3 linked regions of the Astyanax mexicanus genome follow. The main gene of each other region encodes a partner of the protein of the gene in region 2 in a complex. Links are inferred from orthologs where the notes say so. Each region holds a gene or a part of one and is shown on either strand. Other genes may lie near its edges. The genes, in order: uspl1, sumo3a and senp1.

Region 1 (7,111 bases), on a different chromosome or scaffold from region 2:
TACAGGTCTGAACAAAATAGGCATAAGAGGACATCTTTCCTCTTGGCTTCGTTGGGTCCTTCCCCATCTTCAATATATCCCTAAAACGGAAAAAGAGAGAATTCATATTTTGCATCATGTCATCCATCTGTACACGACCACAGACACAGACTCTTCACCTGAGACCTCCGTGCACCTAGTGCTTCACATTTCAGCAAAGTCTGTGTGTAGAGAGATCGCAAGATTTTTTCCGTTTCCTTGAATAAACATAAACTTGCAATGGCAACAGATCAGCTGTTTACCATCCCGATGTTGCGAAAAGCTTCATATTAATGTTTATAAAACACAAAAAGTTGCAATAAAAGCTAAAATTAAAGTAATGATAACATCGAATAAAACTAAGATCCGAAGTTGAAAATGGGTAATAAGAGTAAAAACAACCAAACTGATAAAAATATTGTGCGTGCTAATCTAGGCATAACATTGTACAAGTGGTAAAAAACTGTTAAAATGTTTTAAAAAAAATCCAATATACTGTCCACTGAAAAGAGCGATTTCTTCTATGTACTCATATATAGCAATGGCGCACAGGCTGTCTTGTTGAGGGAAAGGAGGTCAACAACGACAGCAATATTTCTCCTTCCATTTTGTGAGAAAGCCTTCTTCATGAAAGAAAGTCCTCCTAAAATGTCTCCACCCGCCTTCCTGTTCGCTTTTTAATTCGACAAATAACGGCGAAAGTCGGTGTTCTTGACAAAATTTCTCCTTCATAAAACCCTATGCACTCGCCCGGTGTATAGTAATACACTAGGTCTGTAGTAAGTCTATGTACGGGCTGTGTAGAGTTTGCTGTGGGCTCGGAATGGCCGCTTGTCTTCATCCACTAACACTGAGAATATGGCTCCTTCTCTTTGTGTCAATGCTCAGCCATTACACTGCATGCAATAGGGGGCAGAGCGACCGCGGTACCCACCTTATTTTAACTAAGATTTTAACAACGTCACTATACACGGAAAAATAAAAAAACGCATTCACTGCAACAACGAAAGATTGAATTTTTATTTTCTGGCGAAATATCTCTCGGTTAAATGCAGATACCAATAGAAAACACGGTTCGAAAAAGTTGAAGTGAACTGCGCTTGTGTCAGGCTCTGTGGCTTCGCCTTGTTTCCTATGCGAGTACAGTCAGCCATTACAGTAAAGCGCAGATCCTGAGGTAATTTTTTTCATCAATTTCTTCATCATTACACAAAAACCGATTACACGAACAAACAAGCACCCAGCGCACGATTCAGCTCATTTTTTACCTCAGTACGTTTTTTATTTCTGTTTATTTCCCACAGCCAACTCTCTTCACATGTTTGACATCTCCGGCTATGCACTGCAATGGCTAGCTAGCAGGCTAACGCTGACTTGCTAGCTTGCTAGCTGCCAGTAATACCTTCCATAGACCTTGTTTGTACGCAATTCACTCACCTAGCTTTGCACCGAACGTTAGTTTTAACGAACACATTTAATACATGTAGAAATCTGGCAGTCAAGGCTTTAAATATAATCAGAATTAGGCAAGACTGTTGTTTATTTTTTTTTACAGGAAAATGTAAATCTAGCAAAGATTACGCTTATTTCAATAAGATGATAATACACGGTCTAAATTCACGGAATTTTTTTTAACGTTTATAAAATTAAATATGCAGTTAATCTCGACATTAGATTTTGCTTAAAATTTACACAAGGTTTTCGTTATCCATACAATTCTGTACTTACCCACACTTCCAAATTTATATAGCTGACACTTTCCAAAGGCTGGTGCTGATTCTCAATGCACTGCAATGGCTGTGTGGAGGTAATAGCGATACGCAGTCTTCTCACTCAGCTCTTCGCTCTGTAACATTACTCTCAGTAGGGCTCGCATCCTATTGGCTACCGCCAAGCCGAACGTTCTGCCGATTGGTCGAAAACTTTCCATTGTCCTAATAACAGACCCACTCGGATTGGCCGTCTTTTGTGAAACGTCACGAGTGTTTTAAATGGCGGGTTAATACAAACTACGCTGTGTTTCTGTGCTGAACTTGAAGCAGTGTGTTGGTAGATACCGTGCACTGTGTAAGCTATAGCATTACTAGGTTCTGTGAGTGCCATACGGAACACTGAATCAACGGGTCTGTGTGGAGTGTGGTAGAGAGCGCTGTAATGTGATACAAAATACTGAATGAATGCGATCTGACTCCTCGCTGAACTCGCCCTCCATACACTGTTTAGTTCAAATTAACAGAGTATGTAACTGTATTAAAAAATATTTTTATATCACAGATTTCTATATTTTAGTGCCAACACGCCAAATGTGTTTTAAATAAAGTAGTATAAAAGATGCAGCCATTAACAGAACAGTTTCAATCAAATGCTTATGACTGTCCGACGTGATTAATAAACAAATGCAGAAAAATAAGATATACACCGATTATTCCTTTTTCTTTTCTTTTAAACATACTAGTTGAACTGAGTCAATGTATGGGCACTCAATACATTTACATAAAAATTAGTTTAGTTGCATTAGCATCTGACTGTTTTATTAGATTTATTAAATTCAACAAATGTTCAAAAGCATTGAGAAACCTACAATCTTTTACTGTAGAAATTTGACTGTAGGCCATTTTTGCTGAATGTGTGTAAACTAATGCACCTTTACTAAGAGAATTCACTAAATAAATTAAAAACTAAATGGTGAATTTTAAAGTTTAAGTGTACAATAATAACAAATATCAGTTAATATGTCAGGCTTCCTGTGTGCTGTCTGTCTAGCTATCTGTCTTTGTGTCAACCTGCACCTCACTGTCTGTCATCAGTTAATAGATTTTTGTTTACTGATTAATTTTAATTTCAAATTATATTAAAGCATTGTCTCTGGAAAAAAATATTATTTGTGATTATACACATGCATACAACTGTCATTGTAATGTACGTGATATCCATAGTAAATACTTTACAAATAGTTACATTTTGTTCATGTTTTCTTTGTAGAAAAAAAGTAATCTGAGTAATTTATCACAATAATTTAACACTATAGGCATACAAACAATAAATAAACAAGCTAAATAATCTGTAAAAGAAAAGAAAGGCTAGTGCATGTTAATTAAAATTTCTTGGGAAAATTATGCAAATGAATATTGTTAGGGACTACGGTGACAGCAGTATATAAGAAGCAGGGGGAGCCTGAAGGGGAGCAGTAGCCCCTCTGTGCTAATGTTTTTTTGATGAGCAGCTGCAGCAATCTGCTTGCCTTCAGAACAAACATATGCGCATGTACACACGAAGCACATGGTGTTATATATTGCAGACATTGTGTGTGTGTGTATCTGTGTGTGTGTGTGTGTGTGTGTGTTTGGGGTGCGTTGACAGCTTGATTAATGAAACACAAGTATTATACATTTTTTGTTAATTTAATTTCCTGATTGAATTGTGTTATTTGAGCAGTGTATGTATAATTAAAAAAAACGTTTATTTTTTATGTATGGGAATTGCAGTCACATTGAGGCTCTGGTCCTGAGGTTACAAAATAGAACATGAAAAATATAAAAAAACAACGAAAAATGTGTGTGTATTTTTTTGCTTGGTTTGTTTATGTAGATCCTCTTATTGCTGTGGGTTATCTGCAATACACATAAGTTACACGCGGTGGCGCTGAAGTAGCTTTTTGCTGTCGCATTGTAGATCCTGTGGTCTGCCGATTTGTAATATCTTGTCAAAATTCGCTACCATAAATTATTATGAGTAAAGCTGTCCTAATGCAATAGTGGGCGAAATATTTAATTTGGCTAAAAGCAGCATATGAGAAAATGCTCTTAGCAGAACAAAGGTAAGATATTTGGATGGCTTAAATCACCATATCAGATAGACAGGTTTATCCTGTTAATTAAACGAGGTGTGATAAAAGTTGTTTTTGTATTTTTAATTCTTCATTAATTATTTTGTAACGCACAAGAAAATTATAACAGTAAGTTTTGATTTAGTAACGCACCATTATCAAAACATCAAATTGGGGGTGCGCGCATGCGCAGAGCTGCGAAGTTGAACATGGTTGGGTAGCACATCTCGACAGAACACCGGATGTCGAACGCTGAAGTTACGTCGGGGAGCGCACACATGGCGGCTGTTCATACCGGTGTGCTGCTACTCTTAGACACGCTCATTTCTGACTCGCTCACTTTCCTGGTAAGTGCAGTAATTTAGTAATAGCTGTGTTTGATCTGCAGAACACAAACGGAATATTTATTCACCCGTTTAATATCGGCATATCTTAGATACTAACTCGTTAGCGTCCTGGTCAGCTTACCTTCTGTCTTCACTCTGTGCTGCAGCTGATACAGGTTAGGCTAGCTAGAAGCTCAGCCTTATTACCTAGTTTAATACATAACCTAAATAAATCTACAACGCTCAGAGTTTTAGGGACATTTCTGGTTATTAACTAATTGTCTTATCGATATAAATATAGTGTTATGTCCTATCGCTAACTGTTTTAGCCTTCCTGTGCTGTGTTAAACCCATAGCTAAGCTAACTAGCTAGGTTAGCTGACATTCGTGTTAAGAACAGGTTGTATTTGAAGTTTATTGACAGTAAAGCTGGGTTTTCACACACGGCAGAACCTGCAGCTCAGAACCTGCATTTCCCTGATTTTCTCCTAATATAAGATACAATTGTTTTGTATAACCTACGTTTTATTGACTTTAATCCCAGACTGATTAATCCCAGTTATTCCCCTGATAGCAAAGCTCATTGAATAACGTTAATATTCTGTCTCATTAACTACACTGATTTCCTTTAAATAATAATAATAATAAGTTAAGTTTTAAATGTTTCTTTACACACTGCAACAAGAAAGTACTAAATATAATAATGTCATAAAATAATACAACTAACACATGTAAACAGCAATGTTGAACTAGGGGTGGACGTTATGGCCTAAAATAATATCACGATGTTTCATGGTATTTTTGCAATAACGATATGACATTTAATTTAAAAAAAAAGGATTTCATAAATACAGTACTGCAACAAAACAAAATGTACATTTTACTATTGCATACGATATGAAACAGCACACCCCTAACCGAGACATTAAAAAAAATAAAAGAATTTTATCAGATTTGTAACAAAAGTCAATGATCCAGAATGTAATTATACTAATAATGCACTCCAAATATTTCCATATAATCCAGAATTAAAGTAAAATAAATTATACTGGACAGATATAATGTCTCTAGTAGATATATAATGGGAAATGAGAGCAGTGTGAATTTTTCTTTTGCTTAAAAACAGCAAAAAATAGTTCCCTGATGTGATAATTAGGGGTGGGTGATATGGCACGGTATTTCAGAGTATAATATTGTTCACAGTATAATAAAATGTTGGTGATATTTTTGTATACCATACGATATGGCACATCCCTATGTTGAACCAACATAAAATCCAAATGCACAAATAAATTGATTCTGATATCTGAGATCACTTTAGGTCAATAGAACAGGAAATATGAATGTTAATTCACATAGTATGTTATCTGGGTCTTGATTCAGATTTATTCTTGGCGTTTTCATTCTATTTTCAGTTGTATTCAGTTCTTTCAAGCAGTGCTGTTTGTCGTTACAGTGTCTGTGAACCAGCTGGTCGAGGCACATGCTTATGGAGGATTGCAGCCACATGCGGTGGATAAGGTGGTGACAGCGGCGCTCATGAACGGTGAAATCCACGGCGCGGGTTTGAAAAGCCCAGCGCTGGTGGGGTGTTTGGGAAAAGTCAGTTGTTACTCAGTTCTCCCTGTCTGTCACATGTGCAAAGCTATTTGCTCATTGCTCAAAGCTATTGGGGTGGGGGTCAAATTTCTGCAGCCCCTCAGCTGGTCAAAACAAATATATTAGTAAAAGGCGAAAGTGGTACTTTTTTGGATCTTGTGTAGCACTTTTCGGTAGTAATGAAAGTGCTTATTTTAAATGCACATCGATACTCTCTTTCTCTTGCCATGTGAGGCTTTTGAATGTTTTCCTTCAGTTTTTGTATTCTTTGGTAATTTTAACCCTGTCATCACATATTTTGTCCCTCAAGGCTGAAGAGAGAATAACTGAAGATTGCCCTTGGTGCTCTGCAAAAGGACAGAGAAGTGCTCTATGCTCATATGCCATCAACTTTAATGAATCCATCACTCTGTGCAGCAGTCCACTGGTAGGCCATGCCATGTTAACACTAGGTTTCTTTTATTGTGGTTTACATGACACACACACAAATAATATACATAATTTGTAGCTGTAATTTCATCTGAAGTATTGTATCATAGCGTTTCAACTATTCCGTTTTGGCACGCATAAGCTAACAATTAATGCTGTGTAAACAACATAAATGAAAGCTGTATTTGTGCAGTTGGTATCAGAACTAGAAGTATGTTAAGTTGCCCTTTTTGGATAATGGTGTGCTGGGTGTTTTCATATTGACCTTATTTCATTCTTCTTCCTGTGCAGTGCCTTTTTCCTCTTGTCAGCCGACCTTTGGAGGATATTCGTGCAAGTCTTTATTCAGCAGATGACAAAAAGGTGTGCAAGAGAAAGTCTCACATGTCCGAGTCTAAAGTTTCATCTCCCAAGCATCTGAAAAAAGAGGAGTCCTGCATTGTGCCTGAGGCCAGTGACTGCAGGGTGTCCAGTGAATTGTTAGAAGTGAAGCGGTTTCCTTATAGACAAGAGGAGCAGAATGTGGTTCAGAATAATATCCAGACATGCCCTGAGGCCCCCGCTGCCAACAATGAGGATCAGGTATTGTCAGATACAGCACAGACTGAGAATTGTGTATCCAGCACCCGGAAGGAGACAACTGAGACCACGTTGACAGATGGAGCTACGCAAGATTTGATCGAGATGATGCCCTACCAGCAACACTTATTCTGGAAAAATAAGGACAACCTTTGTTGGTTGGATTCGTTGCTTATTGCACTCGTACACTTTGGTGTATTTAGCGAAGTAAATTCTGGCAGTAACAGCTTTCTTAGCAAAAGTTGCCATGTGAGGAACTTGTGCACAAGATACAGGAAAACATGTACATATCTGAAATCCAAAGGGAAACAATGCCAAGGTAAGTGGGTGCATG
Region 2 (7,878 bases):
TATATCAGCCTCTGCATATCTTCAGAACAAAGGGAAAAAAAGTGCTGCTGTAAAGTTGGTCGTCACTAAAAATGTTCCAGTACAAACCGGTTTGGCAGCCATGCTGGACTGAGATAATCTACAGACTTGTCTGTCTGTATATGTGTGTGTGTGTGTGTGTCTGTGTATCTGTCTGCATGGATTTACAATAAGAATATATTTGCTCTTTTACAGGAAAGCTGAGATGAGAGTGCGACATGATGAAATTCGGCAGAAATATGGTAAGCAGTGTCATAAGTGATGCCCCCTCACACACTGATGCTTCACTGTATGAACATGTACAGATTATCATTAAAAGAACCTTCCTCCACCCTCTATAGAAAACCACGTTCATTTCATTTAATCAGATAAAATGAAAATTGAGGTCTAACAGAAGTCTGCTAAAGAGACTGACATTCAGTAAACTGCTACTTTAACAGACTACTTTAGGTGAACCATGTTTTCATCAAATGTTAATTTTTGCTAAAATGGTTCATCCTGTCTTACAATGACAAGGTGAAAATTGCAGCAAAAATAAACATTTGACGAAAACATGGTTGACCTAAAGTTACAAACATGTTGTTTTGTTCATGGCACCCTTTTTAGTTTCAAAGATCAATTTGGATTTCCTAAAATTGTGTTAAATACCTTGACATTTTAACATGACAGCTTGAACATCTTCAGCTTTACCCCAGTTCAATATGGAGAGTGTATGAATAATATTAAGTGAAATTAATGTTATTAATTGCTGATTAATAAATCTGATATCAAAAGTTAATTTCTTAAAGGGCCAGAGTTTTCCCAAGATGACAGGGTGGGCATGGAATTCTTAGCTTAATATTTTTATAAAAAAAGGGAAATAGCTAAATGAATAATTGAAATAAATATTGTGTTAATTAACGCCTTAGAATAATTATTTAACGTAACGTGGCACGTAACTGTGGACATGACGTAGGTGGCCTTTAAACAAAAGAAGCTAAATTAGAGCTCCAATTGTCACCCCTGTGGAAGGCTAGTAAGCATATTACAACAGATATAGTGATGGTTATGTTTGTCAGTTTTGCTGGAGTGCCTCTTTAAACAGAAAAGCGCATGTTTGTAATGTAATTATTTTTAAATTAACAGTCCACATTTCCTCAGCCTTCAGGTCCACTCACATCCATTATGTACTTTTTCCCAGGGCAGTGCTAAAGTAAACATGCACTCAGAATGTGATATGGCAACAATATTTCTCTTTCTTTCTCTCTCTCTCTCTCTCTCTCTCTCTCTTTCTCTCAGGTCTCAGTAAGGCCAGCCCTTATGCCAGGTTTGAGAATGCTGCCTGAGAGGAGCTCCTGAGTGAACCTTCAAAACCTTTGCAAACTGCCTTTAATGACTTTTACTTTGATGCTGCTGTCTGATAATGTCTGATTTTATTAGCTGAGTCATTATCAAAATACTGTGCCTTTTTGGCCCTGAAGACAAAAAAAAACATTACTTAAGATTTTTCATTCTTTCGACAATTTTTAATCAGTTTAATTTCTAAACGTATGACTTCAGATTACACAGAAATGTTTTCACAGGATGTCTTCTAGTTTAATCAGTTTTTATTTTCATTTTTTAATATTATAATTAATGTAATATTTTACCCGTGACAGGGTAAACAACAGCTTTTCCTCAGCGAAATATGAAGACAATATAAGATATATAATGTAAATAGCTGAATATTTTTATGAAAATAACAAAATGAATAATTTAATTTGTTTTTATTTCACTGTGCCACAAAAGGCACCTTATACTGATAGTGACCCATTGCCCCAAACTATAGGCCACATCATACTAATAGTTTTCTGTACACTGATTTTTATGAGCTCAGAATCTTTAAAGGGTTTAGTGGAAATGTTTAGTTGGGACTTTCTTAATTTAGGACAGGGGTGTCCATTCTTATCTGCAAAGAGCCAGTCTGGCTTTAGGTTTTCATTTTCAGCCAAGGTGAAGCTCTTGTTTTCACTAGTTTGCAGACAGACCAGTTGATGAAACCAGTGTGCTGCTGGTTGTTTATAGTAAAACAATGGATTGGACACCTTGATTAAGATTTCTCTGATTTATTGCTATTTATGTTAATCAACAGCAATACGTTCCTATGTATTGTAGGTTTGACTGAGAATATGGAAAATAAAAATAAAATCTTTTTTTCTGTGAATAGCTGTGTTCCTTTTTTATGATTTCATTGTTTGATCGTTATTTTAGAACTGAGTTTGTTTGCCTTCAGAGAAAGAACAAAATTAACTACAGATAAAATCCAGCTAAGGACCAGCAAGAAGATGAAGGCGGTTGAAAAGATGGCCAGTCTGGGGAAAAACACACAGTATACTGTACGAAAACTGGTAAAGCTTGTTAACACCAACTTAGCTCTTAACCACCTTAACACAACTGACAAAGCTGGTCATACTGGTTGACTAATCTGTTATACTGGTAAACCATCTGAGTCATGCTGGTCAACCAGCATTATTATGCTGCTAATTCTAATTGACTAGTGTAGTTTTGGTGATCATCCAGCTTGATTAAGCTGCTTGACATGACTGTTTGTCAAGCCTGTTTTTCATGCTGGTCCTGGAGATCAGCCAGTAAACATATAGGTTGACTAACCTGCCAAGTTGGGAGACCACATAAATTCCCTGAAGTCCAGAGCTAAACTGGTTAATGTTTGTTATGCTTTTCAAGGGCATTAAGCAGTTGTTGACCTGTCTATCAGAATGTAAAAAAATATATATGAGAGCTTTTCAAGAAGATTAATTCAGCTGAAATGAATGAAGTGGTTTAAAAATCAGAACTTTTTCAAGATTATGATGGTAAAGTTGGGAATAAGTATTTTTAATAATATAAAACTGTGTAGCAAGTGTATAAATTAATGTACATATGTTTTAAATTATTACATTTATTAAATTATTATACATTCAATATAGGACAATATAATAAAGTCAAATGTCAAGAAATGATTAAAACAAAAACTAAAATGAATGCAAATACATAATTACAGTATACAGCATATAGTGTCTAGAAAAGGTATGTGAACCCTTTGGAATTTCATGGTTCAATTGGTAGCATAAATTTGTCACAAAATGTTATTTGATTCAGAATAATGGTATTAAAAATATGATATACCTAAAATAATTATTATATAATATATAATAATATATATATAAAATTAGAGTCAAGCATTAGCACTTGGACTAATGCTAGTTTAAAGGTGTGGACTAGAGCTACTTTGATAAAATCCATTTAAACTTTTTGATTTTGCTCTGCACAAGAAGGATACCTATATCTGAGCAATGCTGTGCCAAAAAAGAGCTTTCAGAGAATCAAATATTAAAAAATGTTGATTTACATAATGTAAAAAAACATAAAGGAATTACTAAAAGCACATTGAAGCTCTACCTTGGTACTGGAAAATATTTTATTGACAGATAACACTAAAATTAAACTGCTTTGCTGCACTAAATCTGATATAAAATGTCACTGCACATCACCATAAAAACATCCTTCCAACTTCCAAAGTAAGGTGGAGGGAATATCAAGATCTGGATGAATTCCCGAGTGTATCAAACAATTTTACAGGAGTAGAAGTTGGGTAATGCAACAGGACAGTGACCCAAAACCCCAGAGCAAGTTCACAACAGAATGGTTTAAGAAAAACAAAATCCACCTTTAGGATGGGCCAAGTCAGATCTCAGATGCTATGGATTGAATTATGTGATATTTTAGGCACAACATATTTTTCAATGCTAATTTAGATGAAGATCAGATCATATTTTAAGACAAATGTATAAGCAGATTTGTGAACCAAAGGGTTCACATACATTTTTTCCACTTTATGTTTATAATTTAATATGTCATTTGTTTATATCATTTCAATTTTTAAGAATTAGGCAACGAGTATAACTGTTGTATTATGGTATTTTTCATAAAATTGTATTAATATTAATATAAAGGCAGCAGACACTGTTTTGCAAGTTTATAAAATCATTTTACAGATTTTAAATAATTCAAATAAAATATCCGAACTTATTTAAATTTGAATTTTAAGAATTGTCAAATGTCAAGGCATGGTTGAGAAAATAACAAAAATACATGCAAATACATTATTACAGTATATAGCTTATGCTTATCAATTCATTCAGCACTTGTTAACATAATTTTTATTTACTTATTTATTTAAAAAAAACGTTTTTATTGTATTTATTGTATTGTATTTTACAGAAAATAGTTATTAAGGTAGATATATAAACAGATAATAATAACAAATATATAAAATCATTTTACTGCTCTGACATAAGGCATGGTTTGAAAATCTGGGATCAATAAATTATCATTTATTCATTATTATTATTATTATTATTATTATTATTATTATTATTATTATTATTATTATTATTATTATTATTATTATTATTATTATTATGGCGGCCTATTTGTGTGCAGGTCCAAATCGCTTGCCCCTAGTGGCGGAGAAAAGAATGACTAAATTGTTCATTAGACACAGAAAACCCACAGACACAAACGTCACGTGTAAAAAATCAATTATATTCGGTATCTATCAATAGGCCTGTCTTCAATACGGACCAGTTTAACTTAAAATATTAATAATCCTAATTTAATCCGTGGGTTTGAGCGGGGCCGCGCCTTTTTGTCTCTGTGCGCGCGACCCCGTTTTTCTTGTTTCTTTTTTTTCACTCCTCCCCCCAGAAGAAAGAGGCGCGCACGGGAACGCGCGGCGCGCTCCCGCCCAGACTGGAACACGTGACTCTGTGACGCCCAATCAGGGCCGAAGGAGGTAAAGAGAGGCGCGTGCTCGTGGCGGCCGGGCGGACAGTAGCGAAATCACACAAACACGGTGAGCGGAGATCAGCAAGAAAACCCGCGGAGAAGATGTCTGAAGATAAGCCCAAGGTGAGCCGAGAGCCGGGTGTCCGTGTGGGGAGCAAGTGTTCGGGGGAGAGGGAAGGAAGAAGAGCGCGCGCGGAGGGAAAAGCGCCGGTTCAGTGTTATATTCAGAGTGCGCTCGGCAGGCTGCGCATTTGTGCGGGAAAATGGAAGCCAGCGTGCGGCCGCGGGGTTTTTCCATTCTCCCGCTACATTTATAAAACCCGGTTATTCCGCGGGTTCTTTAAATATTTCAGGGAATTAGACACAGGCGGACGGTCGTCCATTGAAAGCGCGCCGTTGTTTACCTGCTCTGCGCCGTTTTTCCGTCGCCGTGTGAGAAGCAGCGTCGAGCTTTGCGGCTTTTCCTTTGTGAAAGCGGAGAAGTGGCGCTACGAGAAGAAGCGCAACGGGCCGCTGACTGGAATCGACCGAGTTTATTCATCATGAGCCTCTTAATTGGTTTAAATCGTGTTAAAATGCTCGTTAATTTAAACGGGGAGGGTGAAGGTGAGCGGGTTGTTTGGGAGCTGATTTTAGGTGCAGGCTTTTAGCTGCACCAGATGCGAAAATGGCGCACGGCGGCGGCGGCAAAGAGCCTCAACGACGCGTCTCCTCACTGAGAGCTGGGTAGTGTAGCGGTTAGCCACTTAGCTAATGTTAGCTACCGCCGTGTTTCAGCTCGCTTCATGTTGTTTTGTGAGGCTTGTTGCTGTAATGGCCAGGTTCTGGTGTGTTTAGCTGTAAGCTAGCTTTCACTTTATGAGGGGAGCTTTGCAGTGTGAGGCTTATGGAGGGAAAATAAGCTAGCGCCTCTCCATTTTCTCACACCCCGAGCTCTTTAGATAGCATTAAGAGCGCTTAAACAGGAAAGGGCGAATCTGCGCAGTTTCACCACTTTTTAATCGCTGTATTTAACGCTAGCTAGTCAGTTTTCGCTAATGTCTGACTGTATCTGTGGGGAGATGTTAGCTAGGAGATGCTATTAGCTCAGACAAAAATAATGGTAGCTAGCATTAGCTAACATAGGTTAGTTAACCAAGCTAACGCTAGTTAGCTAATTGAAACAACCATTCAGCCCATTCTGGGTTCATCCATTTCCTTAAGTTGCCAGTTTTTATTTCTGCTTCTCAGTCTGGTTTTCAGGAAAAGATATGAGAAAATGGTATCCAATCTACTTTTTGTCTTTCTGTTTTTGGTACATAAAGTTAGCCACATTTACTGAACCACAGAACACCTTTACCACTTTCTGAACAGCTTTTATAAACATGTGATTAACCACATCCGTCCATGGTATCACTCAGAATGGTTACCCTGACGTTTGCAATAGAACATGTTAACATTTTGTATTTGTATATTCTAACCAATAGAAGCTGCTTACATGTCTCATTGTTACATTTCCCCCTCTTTTCTCTTACAGGAGGGAGTGAAGACTGAGAACGATCACATCAACTTGAAGGTGGCTGGGCAGGATGGATCAGTGGTCCAGTTTAAAATCAAAAGGCATACACCCCTCAGCAAACTAATGAAAGCATACTGTGAAAGACAGGTGTGTGCATGCTTGCTTGTTTGTGTTTTTTGACTTTTGTTAATAGGTGGAAAAGAGATTGGTGATTGCATATTTTGCCTTTTATATATGTTTGTTTTCTTCTCTTTAATGCGGTTTCCATTGTTACTGTGTATGCATGCATGGTCTTGAGCTGCACTAATGTTTTATTTTTTGTTCTTGCAGGGGTTGTCAATAAGACAGATTAGGTTTAGGTTTGATGGACAGCCAATAAACGAGACAGACACGCCGGCACAGGTGAGCATATAAGGATTACCTTTGTCCCACAATGACTAAATCACAGCTTCACCACAAATTGTATAGATTACTTATAAGTAGATAAAATGTACAAAAATTAGCTCATGCAGTCTGAAGTGTAAAAGCTATGTCAACTTTACGCTAGCTTAAGGAATAGAATCCAGAAATTTATGTAAAAATTAACTAAACTCTAACATTTTGTTATTTATGAATCTGTCCTCTTGGGTGCCCCTAAATATTCCAGTACATTTGTTGCAGCCAACTGCTATCTTATTGGCTTAATGTCTCTCTGAGCGAATTTAAGGTTAATTATAAACTATTGTCAAAATTTGGGATTTTTTTGCTCTTTTCTCTTATGTTTATTTACTTTGATCAGTTGTATCCAGTTGGTTTAATATGTTTTCTTTCTTGCAGTTGGAGATGGAGGATGAGGACACTATCGATGTATTTCAACAACAGACAGGCGGTTCTCGCTAAACCTATTCGCGCAGCGAGCTCCCACTCGGCTGTTTTATTTGACATGTTTTCCTCTAAATGCTCTCTTTAACTGTACTGTTCATTTCCCTTCTTTGCCAGTTATTTGAAAGTCCTCCCTAGTTTTCATAGGGTGGGACCAGGTTTTTTGTTTTGATTTTTTTTTTTTTTTCTTTTCATTCCCCCTCCCACTTCACTCTTTCAGTATGTAATCATGTCTGTGAGATGACAAATGTGGCTGCAGGCAAAACTAAGATGGCTGCCCTGAGGTATAGTTCAAAATGGCCATCTGAACTACTTGTTGCGTCTCTCAGTGTGTAATACTGGCCAGAAAGTCGGGCCATAGTTGCCTGTCCCGCCATTCTTTCCATTTTGAAATATAAATGGTCTATGCCCATATTGTCTATATTCTGCAGAATGAGGATCTTCCCCCTTCTGTGTCATGCAGCTTTAAGTATCTTTTAAGCCAGGATCTATTTTATGTCTGTAAGCTGAAGAGATGCCCACCCTGCATTCTTTGTTTGTTTCTCCACATTTATTTTAAAATGAACTGCCTCACTCAAGAAGTAACAAAGGGGGATGGGATTGAAGGGAACTTTCTTCCTCCCTCAGAGGAGAACCCTGGTCCGGTAGTGTAATAAGTGGTGAGGATCAGGATACTGGACCAAACCCTGAAGAGA
Region 3 (7,310 bases), on a different chromosome or scaffold from region 2:
AAGCAGATTAAATATTCTACTAAGTTCAGCATATTTAAAACAAAAACGGTTTCGTTGAAACATTTATTTTTTTACATTTCAAATAAAAAAAGCAATAGCAAAAAATATTTGCATGTTTTTGTCCAATACAGAGACGTAACTGAGACATATAAAATACAAAACAAAAAAATCTCATTTGTATAAAACCTCATGCAACATTTAAAACTTCACTAAATTGAAATTGTCAAAAGCATATTATATTACAGGTGCAAGACATGCTAAAGGAAGCATGCACCGTAGCCCAGCATCATCTACGCCCTGCTCATTCAGATAACAATAATTTATTACTTTGTTGTGAAACATCAGCTAAATCTAAGCAACTCTCAAACATTTTAGATAATTATAATAGTATATAAAAGTAATTATGAGAGTAAAGAACTGAAACGTGGGCTTACATACAGGGTCTAATGGGTTAAACAGTAAATAAAACAAAGGTAATGATAAGAAAATTACAAATGAGAACTTTAAAAGATGTTAATCTTTAATATTCATACAGTTCATGCAGCAAATGTTTTGAGGGCATCGTTTATGCAACTTTGGAATGCATCTCGTACCACAGTTTTGAAAACTACTGCAATATTAATTTTTTTTTTTAATTCCTACCAACTCTTTGCATACTGTGCACCATAAAAAGTGAAATACCTTGCTTTCAGTATTTTCAGACCCCGATGCATTGGCTGCAGGAAGAGATGTGGGCAGGTCTGTGGATTCTGTCTGTGGTGGGTCAGGAGAGGCAGGCAGCATGTTCCTCAAGGTTGGGCTGACACTGCTGCGCATCCACGATGCAACAGAAGAGCCATGGGTCTTCACCCCCTCGGCCGCATTCTTCATCGTGTCCATAAAATCTCCTAAAACACAAGAAAGTTCAAGTCAAGTTGAGAGGTTTTTACTGTAGTTTCATCTAATCCTGGCATCATGTTCTCCTCCACCAGTCTTACACACTGTTTTGGATAAGGTTATGCCTTTACTCCTGGTGCAAAAATTCAAGCAGTTCAGTTTGGTGGTTTGATGGTTTGTGATCATCCATCTTCCTCTTGATTATATTCCAGAGGTTTTCAATTTGGTCAAATCAAAGAAACTCATATATCATTTTTAAGTGGCCTTTTATTTGTATTTTTTCCAGATTTATATGTTCCAAAAGGAGAGTGATATACTTACCCATTCTAAATTTCTTGACAGCTCGGTGTTCTTCAATGCCATCCACATCTTCCAGACTGTAAAGAAGAAGAAAAAAAAGATGCATGTTAATGTAAGCTGTTCTAAAACGAAAGCTACTTTGGATAGCGACACACCAGCCTATAGGAAAGCCTAACACATGCCTGCTTCTCAGGGAACAGTAGAGAACAAGACAGAAAGGTGTTAAGCAACTTCACTAGTAAAGTGTATCGGTGCAGTTTCAAAACATCTGTTGAGATACTACATTGAAAAATATTAGCTAACTAATCAAACACACTTTGACACAAACATTTACACATCCACTATATTCTCTATCAGTGGTGCACAGTTACGTGGATAGCTACAAAACAAATATAGGTGGAGACTGTACTAATTATCTGTACTTCGCTTAACATAAAAAACACGTTTGCTCGAAATAAAGAAATCGTTGAGCAGAAGTTGCAAAATTTTTCACTTGAATTTGACAAAACTTGAGCAGAAGTTATTTATACATTTTAAAGAAAACGTGAGCACGAACTGCAATATCGTTTGCTCAATAAATTATTTTTTTATTCACAGGCCCTCCCTGGCTCCCTATTATACAGTTAAACATTTAAAAATAAATATATTTTTAAATGTTTGTATTGAAAATGTCTAACAAATCTCAGGACTATATAATAGAATCGTGAATTGAATTGAATCATGAGCAGAGTGTATCGTTACACCACTACTTTCTAACTATAGAGTACTTTTACTCAAGTGGAAATCTAAAGGGACGAGTTTTTGGTAGCTACATTTATCTTATAATTTTAAATCTTGGTAGCTTCGTCCACCACTGAATAAAGTGAAGACCAGAAGCTAATTTTCCCACAATAATAATAAAGCTGATAGATACTTTGGACAGCGACACACCAGCACAGTCTAACACATGCCTGCTTCTCAGGGATCATAGCTTATATCAGTAGATTTGCCTGTGTGAACTCCAGTAGAAGTTTTTTGCCGCGCACTTTAGTGAAGGTAGCTAGCTTGAGTTTGACTAAAATAACTTAACGTTAAATAGTTAGCCTATCAATTACACACTTTTCCACTAACTTAACCTATATTATATAGCCATTCTTGTCTCTAGTAAAGTAGCTAGCTAATTAGCGTTAGCCTAGTTTAGCTAATTTGGTCTCAGAAAAGCTGGCTAGTTTAAATAGCTAACTAAGTTAGCTAGTTAAGCTAACTAATAAACTCACCAGTCTATGGGTCTCTTTCTCCGGGGAGGACCGTCTTGCTGCTGCCCCGTGCCGATATGATCCCCACCGGGCGCTTCTCCGTTGCGAAGGTTAGCTATTCCAGTCCCGAACCACTGGTAGAGCTTATTAAACATGTTTAATCCTGGAGCCGCTCTGTTTAAATCTCTCTGAAACGGGCCTTATTCACATGCTAGCAGTTAGTTAGCCAATTAGCATCATTACCTCTGTTAGCCGGTTAGCTTGAGCCGCATTTTCCAGCCCGGTAGACCGGTTAACTGGTTAGCTAGCTAGTTAGCTAGGCTAGTTAGCCAGGCTAGCACAGCCGCCGGGCCGCCGTTAGCTGCCCCAAGCCCTAACTTAGCTAGCCTAGCCAGTTAGCCGCGATGCTAACAGCGTCCCTCAGCCTGAGCGGCGGTTAATCAGCGCGCGGCCTCCCCGCGCACAGGCCTCCCCCGTTATTAATGAAACCGGGCCGGGATCCCGGAGCGCCGTTACCCGCAGTTTACCGGTTATAAACCCGGTCTCTGAAACTTGCTCGCGCGACAACCTTCTCCCGCTTCTTCCTCATTTAAAACCGCGACATGGCCAAAGCTCGCATCTCACCGTCAGGCGCGCTGATTGGCTGAGCGGCGATGACGCGCGGGGCTCGCCTGCAGTGTTGTAGAAGAGGAGTGGAGGAAAAAAAATAACATAAGGAGTGATATATTAAATATATTGTTTTGCATTGTTTTATTTCAGTTTAATTAATAAATTTGTTGTATTTTTTATTCTATAAGCATTAATGTATTTTATGTGTTGTTTTATTTCATAAGGATTACTATATTTGTTCCATTGTTTTATTCAATAAGGATTAATATATGGAAAAAAAAGCTAAAAAAATCAAAAGATTAATCACTTACATGTAATATTTTATTTATATGAATTGATATATTTGATGTATTGTTTTATTTTATATGGATTAATAAACTTGATGTATGTACTTGATATATTTGTTGTACTGTTTTAATTCATAATTTAAAGCATCATAATTGGTCTCTCCTAGTGTTTAGTCCACATATTAGTGTGGTCAGAGCTGATTTTTGGGGGGTTTTGGTGCTAACTTTTATGTAAAATGTTCAGTAAATGCAATGAGTGGCACCTTTAACAATCAACATTGCTATATCATTGTGTACAAGCAATATACTTTACGTTAATAATAGTCAAGGCAAAAGATGGATTGGTATGAAGGAAGAATTTATTTGAGCATCAGAAAAAAAGCATCAGGCTGACCAAATCATCACTGTCCAGTGAAAAACAGCATCTTCAAAAGTATCTCCATTTTTTTTAGTATCTCCATTTTTAGTTTACTACTTTATTTGATCACACAAACTGTACCTTACACTGCATCAACATTGCTTGATGAATGGACCAATAGAAATGCTTTAAACTTATCTATACACTGACTAATGTCTGAAATAACAAAAAAAGATGCAGAGCTTTCAGACCTCAAATAATGCAAAGAAAGTTCATATTGATAAAGTTTTAAGAGTTCATAAATCAAATTTTAGGTTGGAATAACCCTGGTTTTTAATCACAGTTTTCAAGCATCATGTTTGCATCATGTTCTCCTCCACCAGTCTTACACATTGCTTTTGGATAACTGATTTTATGCTGCTTTACTGCTGGTGTAACAATTCAAGCAGTTCAGTTTGGTGGTTTGATGGTTTGTGATCATCCATCGTCCTCTTGATAATATTCCAGAGGTTTTCAATTTGGTAAAATCAAAGAAACCCATCATTTTTAAGTGGCCTCTTATTTTTTTTTCAGAGCTGTATATCTACTAGAGACTATAGATTATATCTGTCCAGTATCATTTATTTTACTTTAATCCAGGATATATGGAGATATATGGAGTGCATTATTTGTATCAGTACTACTTATAATTAGTATTGGTTATAAATCTAATACTTTTTTTTTGTATTCTTTTAATATCTCAATTAGAGGTGTGCCATATCATTTCATATGCAAAAATATAATTATTATTTTTATTTTGTTACAGTAGTATATTCTTGAAATAATATATTTTTAATTTAATGTTTTGTCATATGGCAAAGAGTATCGTTATTGTGAAAATACCTTGAAATATCATAATATTATATTATTTTAGTGCCATATCGCCCACCCCTAGCCAGTAAACACAACAGCCACAAACAGCTTATTGGACTTCATTTTTAATTCTCGACATATTCAAATATCATATGACTTAAAATAGAACAAAAATGAACTATCCCTAAAAGATAATGATCAAAAACAGGGAACACAGTGCATATTATCAACATATCAATACATACAAGATATGAGTACACACAGTACAGTCATTCAAGCGCCGAAATGTTTGGCATGAGATATGGCAACACGTATCAGAGGAATATTAGTGTTTTCAAGCAGCCAAACATCCTGGCACTTAAGTCCTTTTAAATCCTGTATAAGAACAATCAGCATTTCAGAGGAACAGGGGCAAACAGGCAGACAAGCACTGTTTAACAATAGCTTCAATTATAATGGTAAAAGCTGTGTGCAATTTTTAATAAATATACATTTTATTAATATAGAATGAAAATTAAGCTTTAACACCCCCAAAAGTAAAAACATCATATTTGGACCTTTCCTGCAGCACAAAAAAATGCTGTACCTTGTATTGCCATTTTTGCACTTAATATCTGCAAGTTGTTCTTTACATTGTATTGGAATTTTATTATAAATGGACAAATAGAAATGCAGCAAAATTTGTTGAAATCATTTGATCAAAAACATTTAGAAAGGAATCTATTAAAGAAAAAGAGATTTTCTTTTTATTTCAGCCAGTAAGTCAAATGTTGCTCTTTGTTATAACCTTTTTGATGGTTATTAAAATAATAACTGAGAACTTTAGAGCCCTTTATGAGCTCTATACATTCAAAATACAAGCATGTCAGGTCCCTTAATAAACTCTTTACTTATATATATATTTATTTACTTATTTCTTAAAAAAAAACATAAAATCTAGCCTAAGCTGAGTTGACACGGCAGAGAAAAAAAATACCTAAGTTATTAAGCATTGCAGAGAAATAAGTATATTAGTTTTTTTAGGGTTACAAATTTATTATATTAAATACAATGTGGTCAGCAGAAAACCAATCAAATCAAGATCACAGATCAAATATCAATTTTCAATTTTAAATATCAGTCAAATATTTACACTTATCTGTTAAAAAAAAACATATCCAATAAAATTTTTAAATAACATTCTGCTGTGTGAATACTGATGCCATGGATCTAAATTTATATTAAAACAAAATATAACAGGTATGCCAATAACTGAATGATGAATGAAGGGACAAAAAATAAAAAAATAAGAGTCATAACTTAACACAGCATTTAATTTTACAATAAAAGAATAAAAATGATTCTCTCTGATTCTATAAGTGAACTAGAGCGTATCTACATGTAGTCGTAGATAAAGCAGCACACTTGTACTCAGCTCAATTAAAACCACCGACGTACAGAAGGCAGCAAAAAGGATTAGATAGGTAGTGTGGACGCTTAGACGAGCATACCACATGTAGCATTTCTCTCAGATTACAATCAGAGTCAATTTTGGACCTGCAGCTGCTGAAAACCTCCGAGAGACAAGCGCACAAATCCCGGCAGTACAAACAACAGCCTATAAAAAGGACACACGGACAGATGGATGGATGGACTGACGTACGGTGTGAACCAGGTTAAAGTTTGTGTCGTAGTTTAGTGTCAGTTTGTTCCTCCGCTGCACAAGTGGGTGTAAAGCTCTCAGTCCTATTCGTGTTGTTTGTGGTCGCTGTGGTGCGGCGGTAACCCCGGAGAAAACGGGTTCAGGTACCAGGCCTTGTAGGTCAGATACCATCCCAGCACAGCACACCCAGTTCCCAGGATCTTGTGAATGGTTTCGTGGAAGTACACAGAAGTGCAGGCAAACATCCATACCCAAATAACCACGATAGCATTGAGCGCCACATACAGAGCATCCAGCACAGCTGTCCTCTTCTGATTGTGCTGCACCAGGTGCAGCATGGGAACCATCTCTTCGACGATAAGGAACGTAGAATAGGCCAGAATGAACGAATGACCCGATATATCAAAGCCGTCCCACATTAACCCGGCTCTCCTGCACTCCGCCTTCGTGCTGAACTCTTCACGAACGACCTGCACGGACTCAGACTGCCCGTAACACGTCCCTGTGATGTCCTCGATGTAGAAAAACGTCTCGGTGCAGATGTACCAGATCGCCGTCGCCACCACCAGAGCTGTGAGACGCTTCAACACATAGATATGGGTTCTGTTGTAGGAGTTGGAGAGGAACAGAAACGGGAGCAGCAGAACCAGGTTCCAGCCCCAAGAGATCTTTACAAAATACCTAAGAAAGAAAAAAAAAAAGAAAAAAAAAATAAGGTAGAAGAAGATAAAATCAGCACCATTCAAAACATGAGCAAAAAAATTCTAGTTAGTTTCTTTAAAAATACATTAAAATAATAATAGTAATAATAATAATAATAATAATAATAATAATAATAATAATAATAATAATAATGTACACCCATCTGATTTTTAATACTTTAATATTGAACTTTTGTCTTTTATATTTGGGGATTGGGGAGGGAGTTCCTTACTAATGCACTCTTAATGCAGAGATATGCAGAAAAGTGAAATATCTAATTTTGTGGATTTATGGCCCTAAAATATGACAATTTTTCACAGCATTTTCTTTTTTCATTTGTTTGGCATTTACTGCATTTACTTTTAATTGGTTGTGTGCATTTTAAATGTTGACACTAAAAATGGCTGCACTTTAGTTTTGTGTTTATTTAGTTTGGTTGCATTGCATTA

What was found.
Region 1: the proteins of sumo3a (region 2) and uspl1 are in contact, whole or in part, in a crystal structure (PDB 7ZJU), measured with the Homo sapiens proteins. The link is inferred for Astyanax mexicanus from reciprocal best matches to the Homo sapiens genes SUMO3 and USPL1. Residues at the interface, in NP_008867.2 of Homo sapiens: Gln24, Asp25, Gly26, Ser27, Val28, Arg58, Arg60, Gly63, Gln64, Pro65, Ile66, Asn67, Asp70, Leu75, Phe86, Gln87, Gln89, Thr90, Gly91; in NP_005791.3 of Homo sapiens: Ala234, Cys236, Trp237, Pro321, Gln322, Leu323, Arg324, Met330, Glu331, Ser332, Val334, Phe335, Leu339, Tyr368, Thr378, Thr380, His393, Phe394, Gly395, Pro396, Asn398, Arg407, His421, Val423, Tyr451, Asn454, Asn455, His456, Phe457, His493.
Region 3: the proteins of sumo3a (region 2) and senp1 are in contact, whole or in part, in a crystal structure (PDB 6NNQ), measured with the Homo sapiens proteins. The link is inferred for Astyanax mexicanus from reciprocal best matches to the Homo sapiens genes SUMO3 and SENP1. Residues at the interface, in NP_008867.2 of Homo sapiens: Gln24, Ser53, Arg55, Gln56, Arg58, Arg60, Asp62, Gly63, Pro65, Asn67, Thr69, Asp70, Gln74, Glu76, Asp84, Phe86, Gln87, Gln88, Gln89, Thr90, Gly91, Gly92; in NP_001254523.1 of Homo sapiens: Gln440, Asp441, Glu446, Arg449, Leu450, Thr451, Lys455, Trp465, Leu466, Asn467, Asp468, Glu469, Asn494, Thr495, Phe496, Lys500, Arg511, Trp512, Lys514, Lys515, His529, Gly531, Val532, His533, Trp534, Gln597, Gly600, Ser601, Asp602, Cys603.

What each region holds. Positions count from the first base shown.
Region 1 is NC_064427.1:14,347,959-14,355,069, reverse strand, and holds the start of uspl1 (SUMO-specific isopeptidase USPL1), read left to right. Parts: upstream 1-4,082; 5' UTR 4,083-4,191; intron 4,192-5,626; 5' UTR 5,627-5,709; coding exon 5,710-5,772; intron 5,773-6,079; coding exon 6,080-6,196; intron 6,197-6,489; coding exon 6,490-7,096; intron 7,097-7,111. Other genes in the region: hmgb1a (high mobility group protein B1a), read right to left, coding at 1-67. UniProt on the Homo sapiens protein: SUMO-specific isopeptidase involved in protein desumoylation. Specifically binds SUMO proteins with a higher affinity for SUMO2 and SUMO3 which it cleaves more efficiently. Also able to process full-length SUMO proteins to their mature forms.
Region 2 is NC_064412.1:39,371,674-39,379,551, reverse strand, and holds the start of sumo3a (small ubiquitin-related modifier 3-like), read left to right. Parts: upstream 1-4,791; 5' UTR 4,792-4,926; coding exon 4,927-4,947; intron 4,948-6,340; coding exon 6,341-6,469; intron 6,470-6,652; coding exon 6,653-6,724; intron 6,725-7,138; coding exon 7,139-7,201; 3' UTR 7,202-7,878. Other genes in the region: pttg1ipa (PTTG1 interacting protein a), read left to right, coding at 214-260, 1,297-1,343. UniProt on the Homo sapiens protein: Ubiquitin-like protein which can be covalently attached to target lysines either as a monomer or as a lysine-linked polymer. Does not seem to be involved in protein degradation and may function as an antagonist of ubiquitin in the degradation process.
Region 3 is NC_064420.1:2,617,759-2,625,068, reverse strand, and holds the start of senp1 (sentrin-specific protease 1), read right to left. Parts: upstream 3,042-7,310; 5' UTR 2,567-3,041; coding exon 2,433-2,566; intron 1,254-2,432; coding exon 1,198-1,253; intron 888-1,197; coding exon 682-887; intron 1-681. Other genes in the region: acyl-coenzyme A diphosphatase FITM2, read right to left, coding at 6,243-6,840. UniProt on the Homo sapiens protein: Protease that catalyzes two essential functions in the SUMO pathway.